Coturnix japonica: one gene and its partner. The protein of the gene in region 1 interacts with the protein of each later gene in a pairwise test. Links are inferred from orthologs where the notes say so. Each region holds a gene or a part of one and is shown on either strand. Other genes may lie near its edges.

Evidence for each region. The genes of interacting proteins can lie anywhere in the genome.
Region 2: the proteins of COPS5 (region 1) and protein S100-A9-like interact in a two-hybrid assay, tested with the Homo sapiens proteins (2 studies listed by BioGRID). The link is inferred for Coturnix japonica from reciprocal best matches to the Homo sapiens genes COPS5 and S100A7.

The regions. Positions count from the first base shown.
Region 1 is NC_029517.1:104,436,198-104,440,460, forward strand, and holds the start of COPS5 (COP9 signalosome complex subunit 5), read right to left. Parts: upstream 2,930-4,263; 5' UTR 2,563-2,929; coding exon 2,408-2,562; intron 2,296-2,407; coding exon 2,061-2,295; intron 50-2,060; coding exon 1-49. UniProt on the Homo sapiens protein: Probable protease subunit of the COP9 signalosome complex (CSN), a complex involved in various cellular and developmental processes.
Region 2 is NC_029540.1:1,212,420-1,215,218, forward strand, and holds protein S100-A9-like, read right to left. Parts: upstream 1,589-2,799; 5' UTR 1,460-1,588; intron 1,383-1,459; 5' UTR 1,379-1,382; coding exon 1,226-1,378; intron 966-1,225; coding exon 756-965; 3' UTR 639-755; downstream 1-638.

The sequences.
Region 1 (4,263 bases):
AGCCAGGGTGACTGTGGTACCAGCCAATTGCATTTTCTAGACGACCAACCTAACAGCAGTGAAGGAAAACAAATCCAGTGATGATCCTCATTCGTAAAGCATGGGCTGCCCTCTACTGAGCCTTCCAGCACACTACAACGCAGCAAGAGGATAAAAAGAATATACACAGCCTGTATGCTAACTTGAAATATTCAACATGCACTTTATTTTGCTTAACTATAAAAGAAGTTCCCAAATAATACTCCGGGATATCTCAGCAAGTACCCCAAACAAACAAACAAAACCAATCAAAATTGATTGTTAATCACGGTGAATAAACAGCCAGCGCACCTAGTTTATTGTAACTGGCCAAGAACTGTGTACTGGCTGATCAATATTGAGTGAAAGGATTTATGTACATCCTACATGGCAGTGTGTTCAATGCATTCAGCTGCTTGGTTTTGCCAAATACTGAGCATACCAGGAAGGTTAAATCTGGAAACTATTAAGAGGGACAGAACACACGATCTACCCAACTGAACATTTGAGTCGTTGAAACAAATAACATTTTTCTTTTAACTATTTTATCATCAGATCCTGCCTATGGAGGAGCAAGTAATTGCAACATTAGCTTCTGTAGAGCACTTATGCAGAGTGCTCTTATTATCAACATGTAATCTAACATTAAAAAGAGTTACTCCAGGACAAAGTGCTTTCCAACCTCAGATGTGAAGCAGCCAGGACGCACTGTCAGAGCTCCAGTAAAGCTGAGTTATTGTTTTTGCTTTATTTTCGTATCATGAATTCTCCCATATAAACCTGGGCTGTTCTAAAAGTCAAATGAACTAACCGTACATGTAAATACCGATGCCATGCTCTATACTTAAGACAATTTTTCTACCTAAGAACTGGGTAGTACAAACGTATCTTCAGATATAAACACCCTTTCATTTTCTATACTTTTCAGTAAGAATACAATAAATCATTACTTTAATAATATATTAAAGTAATAATAATATAAGTAATAATATATTAAAGTAATACGTTAAATAGATCACTTAGAAATTTTCTCATAAAGAAGCGTGATAAGTTAACGAAAAACAACAAAAAAACCCACCACAGGCCTTAGAACATCCTTACCTTTGGGCTGTATTTACTCTCTTCTGAAGTCACGATCCAACCTAATTTAGTTAAATGTCCTTAAACCCACAGAAAGCTGTGACACCTCTCCAAAATAACCTAAATAGTTGTACCTTTATCTACACTATGTAAGGACCCTCTAATTTCAGCTGAGTTAAAATACTTTAAGGATTAATGACAAATCAAAGGGTAAACTAGGCCTCAAACTATTTGAGCTTGGACAGTCTGAGGGATTCCAGTGCTTATTTGAGCCAGCAAGTGCTCATATGCCATGTCAGCTTCTGCATCAGCCACAGAGCAGATTAATATTTCACAGAATCACATAGTTGTATGGATTGGAAGGGACTTCTGGGGATAACCATCTAGCCCAACCCCTCTGCTAAAAGCAGATTGCCTATAGTGGGTCAGAGGAAAACATCAAGCAGGTTCTGAATATCTTCAGAGGAGATTCCACAACCCCTCTGGGCAGCTTGTTCCAGGGCACCATCACTCTGATGATAAAGTTCTTCCTTCTGTTTGTATGGAACTTCCTGTGTTGCAGATTTGTTTTGTTGCTTCTTATTCTGTTGCTGCATACCACTGAAAGGAGTCTGGCTGTGTCCACTTGACTCCTACACTTTAGATATTTATAAACAGTAATGAGATCCCTCAGCCTTCTCCAGGCTGAACAGTCCCAGCTCTCTCAGCCTTTCCTCATGCAGGAGATGCTCCAGAACCCTCATATCTTAGTGGCGCTCTGCAGGACTCTCTCCAGAAGCTCCCTGTCTTTCTTGAACGGAGGAGCCCAGAACTGGACAGAATACTTCAGCTGTGGCATTACTGGGGCAGAGAGGGAGGACCACCCTCCCTCCGCAATTGAGAATTTTACTGCACTTTCAGACTTAAGACTTCCAAAAGCAAGAAGTTAAGAGCAACGCCATATCCCCCCCACCGCAGCATACCTGCTTGGCGTTCTCGATGTAGGCGGCCATGTACTCGTAGGCGGCCGCCTGCGCGTTGACGCGGGTCTCGGTGCCCTCCACCGGCAGAGCGAAGCTGTCCATGATGATCATGGTCTCCCCGTCCACCTTGCCCAGCATCAGCCCCATCACCTCCAGGTTGCCCCCCGAGCGGGCGTGCATCACCATCTTCAGCAGGGCCAGCGCCGAGATCTTGCAGTACTTGAAGTAATGGTGGCTGCGGCGGGACAGAGGCCGATTTAGCGCTCAGGGCCTCTCCTCGCCTCGCCTCGCCTCAACCCCCGGCCCCGCCGCCCGCTCTCCCGCCCGCCCCACGGCCCCGCTCTCACTCCTTAGTCCAGGGTTTGGCCGCCAGGATCTCCTGCTGCTGCTTGCGGTCGTACTTGTAGATCTCGTCGATGCTCTGCGCCTCCTGCATGTTGTTGGCCAGCTCCCACGTCTTCTGCGCCATCCCGCTCCCGGACGAGCCGCTCGCCGCCGCCATCGCGCCCCGCGCCCGCTCCGCCCAACCCCTCCGCAGCCGCAGCGGCCCGAGCCAGGCCGCGACTCGCCGGGCGGAACGGGGAGCTGCTGCGGTCCGCGCAGGCCCGGGGAAGCCGGGAGGTGGAGGCCAAGCGGCCGGGCCGGGTCCTCCGCGGCGACAGGCGGCGCTAGCGAGAATGAGCTCCGGGACGGCAGAAAGCCGCCCGCCGGCTTCCGGGGAGGTGGCGACCGGCGCGGGAGGCGGACGGGGCTGTGTGTGCCGGTGAGCGGCGGTGCGGGCGGGTCAGCGCTCGGTGCTGCCTCGCTCCGTTTTGCCCCATTCCCGGCTCCGCAGAGCGGAGGTCGAGCGTCCGCCCCGGGCTGCGAGCGGGCGGCCTCGCTGTCTTCCGCGGGGCTGAGCGGCGGGGAACGGGATGGGCCCGGCAGGCGGTGCGGGGAGCGGGGAACGGGGGAACGGGGGAACGGGGCCTGGCCTGGCCTGGCCTGGCCTCTGTGTGCCCTGTGTGCCCGGTGGGGGCGGTGGGGCGTTGTGCGGGAGCCGCTTGTTGCACGGCCGTTGCCTAACAACGGAGTAACGCTGCTGTGAGGGGCCGGGCCTCCGCCCCGCCCCGCTCCGGGAGCAGTCTGAGGAGGCGGAGGGGGTTCGCTTATGGGGAAATAAATGTGAGCCGTCCCTGAGGGATTCCTCAGATTAATTAGGTTTTGGGTCAGAGGAGGTGGACTGGAATCCTAAATGAAGTCTTAGGGTGAGAGGAGATGACTCAGAACTCATTGGCTTGGTGTTTTGATGGATGGCTGCCTTCACAGTTAGGAAAAGTCATACTGTTTTAGTTAATTGTGGGCGTGCCTGTAAGTGCAGTTACTGAACGTGGCGTGTAGGAGCTTCTTGAAGCACTTCACTCCCCTGCCACCCCTGCTACAGTCTCCGTGGAGGAAAATTGCCATCTGCCAAGTTTTCTGGATATTTAGAATTATGATAGCACAGCATATAGCGTGTCTGATCACAAGTGCTGATTTTAGATCCTATGCATTGCTTCCTTGAAGAAATACAAGGGAAAGGGTAAAAAGGAATGCACTGAATGTTCCCCGAGGTAATGAAAGAGATGTATGATGCTCTTTCCAATATACTGACCGTGTATACAAATAGGTGGTTTGAATGTCTCGAGAATGGAGACATGCATTATTAATTGTGTTTGGGTGTAGGTCCAGCGTCTGTATCTCTGGCATTTGAGCATGGCTTTTTCTCTGTGCTTTGCATTGCCTGCAGTATGCGATTAAGCAAGCCTGGTTTAGAACCTGCTGCCATCAATAGGAATGATTGCAAGGGTCTGGTCATTCACACCATTCGTTCTGACACATTGCTAAGCCAACATCGTACTGTTTTATGTAGCACTTAAGTTTTTTATGTTGACAGGTAAATCTGGGCAGCAGTATAATAAGCCATTTTCTCTTGTCTGATGAAACTTGCAGTCCTTCATGCAGGGATTTTCCCTGCTGTGGGTGCTGCACTGTGTAGCTGATGCCACCAATTCTTTAAGTTGATCACCATGACAGGTTATTCACTCAGAACAGGCATTTTATTATTCTTATGTAACTTAATAGGCTCAACGAAACACATCGGTGCCTGAAATCTTACCATCTTATAGATACCTTTGATCTGTTATCACCGTCCAAAAGTAATGAGATTAAAGCTTTAGCACAA
Region 2 (2,799 bases), on another chromosome or scaffold:
CCCCCATGAGCCTGAGGGTCCCCTCTCCATGCATGGCTGCCCACCAATGCACGGCTCCATCCTGCTTTTGGATCAGGTCCCTATGATGTGATGCCACATGGACCTGCTGGACTCCAAGGAGCTGCCACCCTGCACAGACAAAGCATGAGGCTGCACAGTGCAGCACTGCACCCCCAGAGTCCCTCTGCATCATTTGTTGCCCCTCTGATGCATGGTGGCTTGCAGGAAAGTGCTGCTTGCTTTGTGGGCTGCAAAAGCATCACCTCCACTTCAGGGTTACCAGCTGAGTTGGGTCTCAGCAGCACCCAGAGATCCCAGATTGGGGCAGGAGGGGCTGCTCAGGACACACAGTGATGAGGTGTGGGGTGCAGGGGCCAAGCAATGCTGTGCAAGGGGCTTGTGGATCTGGTGGGAACCTACTGGGGTGTGGGCACTGCAGGACACAGCAATGCTGCCACATGAACCAGCCCAGCATGAGCTGTGCGCTGCTCTGCTCCCACTCAGGGAACAGTAGGATGGATGGGGATGCCCTGTGTATTCCCGTGTCCCCATGTCTCATTGATACCCCATGGCTGCAGGCTGGGCTGGAACATGTCCCATTCCCCCCCTCCCTAGAGTGCAGGACACATCACAGTTGAATTTGGTGCACAGGGAAAGACAATTTATTTCAGTGTCATAGGCAAAAGCAGAAGGCACCCCTTGGGCAGATAGGGGTGATGCTGCTGCTGGAGGAGGGCAGCTCTGCAGGAACAGCCTTAATGGTGCTGACTGTGGCCGTGGCCGTGGCTGTGGCCATCTCCATGGTCGTGGCCATGGTCCCCAGGCTGCTTGTGGGACCGGTTGTGGGCATCGATGGCCACGAGGCTGAGCGTGGTGAGGAACTCGGTGAACTTCAGGCGGCCATCGTGGTTGCTGTCAGATTTGGCAAAGAGCTGCTTGATGTACTCATCAATGGACACGTTGGGCTGCAGGACAAAACGAGTCAGGGCATGGGGTCCCCCACAACCCCACAGCTTCATCCTGGCTCCCCACTCCCCATCACTGACCCCATTTTGGGGATAGTCCACCCAAAACTACCCAGCTCATCCTCCATCCCCTTCAGAGGGTCTCAATCCCCCTCAGAGGGTCTCAATCCCTTTCAGAGGGTCTCAGCTCCCCTGTGCCCCAGGAGAGCAGCACCCACGGATCTCCCACAGGCACGTGGATGCTGAGCAGCCCAACTCACCGGCACAGTGTCAGAGAGGAAGGGTTTGGCATTCTCCTTCAGCAGCATGGAGAACTCATTCCGGCTCAGGTAATCATCCATTGGGTTCCGAATGGCGTATTGGTGGTAGATATTGATGGCGCACTCCAGCGCGAGCTCCAGGTCGGTCTTCATCACACTAGGGAATAAAAACCAAGCAAACATTATAGATGAAGCAGAGCCCTCCAGGAGCTCCAACTGGGGGTGACCACTCACCAACAGACGGTCGTGGGGTTCCTCTGACAGCGGTGTGAGCAGGATTGTGGCTGCGGCGGTGGCTGCGCGGTGCTGGGAGGGCTCTTTTATACCCTCCCTGAGTTACGATTTATGACACCTTGGAATAACTTTGGGGTGATAACCTCAGGAATTGTGCAAGGCCATCGCGAAGAACGCAGCACGCCCAGGATCATGCCCAGCTCCGGTAAGCGACTGCTGCTGGCGGTAAGGAGGGAGGGACACACATCAGACTCGTTGGGGCAAAACAAGGAAACACCGAGTGAGACCTTTGCAGGGAGCCAGCTGAGCAGGTCTGTAGGGCTGCAGGGGATTCCCCATTTGGGGTTCTTGGTGGAGATGAAGAAAGAGGGGTTTTGCTGGAGCCTATGGGACATTGTGGGTGAGGGTCTCCATAGGGTGATGGTGGTAAGACTGTAGATGTGGTTCATTCCAAGAGGGATGTGGTGTCTGCCCTGATGTTTGGTTCTGGATGGAGATGGTTGCCCCCCTGCCCAGGGCTGCTGGGGGATACATCCCAACCCGGTCAGCAACCAGCATCCCATGTCAATCAGTCCAGCAGACATCAAACCTCTGCAGATTGGGACATGCTGAGTGCTGGAAGCCTCCCAGGCAGAACTTCCCAGCAGCAATGATTGCTGCCTGATGACAGCAACTGTTGGCATTGGCATTGGCAATCAATGCCAACTGCTCCTCCCAGGGTCATGGCGGTGTCACTGCTTGTGGGGACCCCACAGGGACCCGGTTGTGGGGCTGGGAGCAGAATGCTGTGTGTGTTAGAGGGGAGAACCCCCTTGGGCAGCCCCACCGTGCAGTGCTGGAGCCCTTTGCCCTATCCTTGCTCATGGGAGGGCAGAAAACCCGTGATGCCCATTAGGGATATTAGGAGATGGGAAGGATGGAGGTGGTGAAACAGCTTCTCTTCACACCTCCCTCTCCAGGAGGAACTTGTTCCAGGAGGAACATGGCTTGTAAAATGGTGAAACAAAGAGCAGTCTGTGTGAGGAGCAGGATACGTGCACCTCCCTGCAAAGGGGTCCCTGCTGGCGTGGGGATGGAGCAGCAGTTCTTGCAATAAGTGGCAATAATTGCGTGTCTGGCTGGGCAGGATGCAGGGACAAATTTGCACCTGCGTGGGGATGCGACATGGATGCACAGCTGGGGAGGTGCAAAGGGACACATGTAACATATGGGGAGGTGTGAAGGGACACGGCGGTGCCACGTGGGGGTGGGAGGAGACAGGTATGCCCTATATATGTCCATGTCCCAGGTGAGAAGGGACACATGCATGCACACACTGTGAGCCCCTGGCTGCCCTTTGT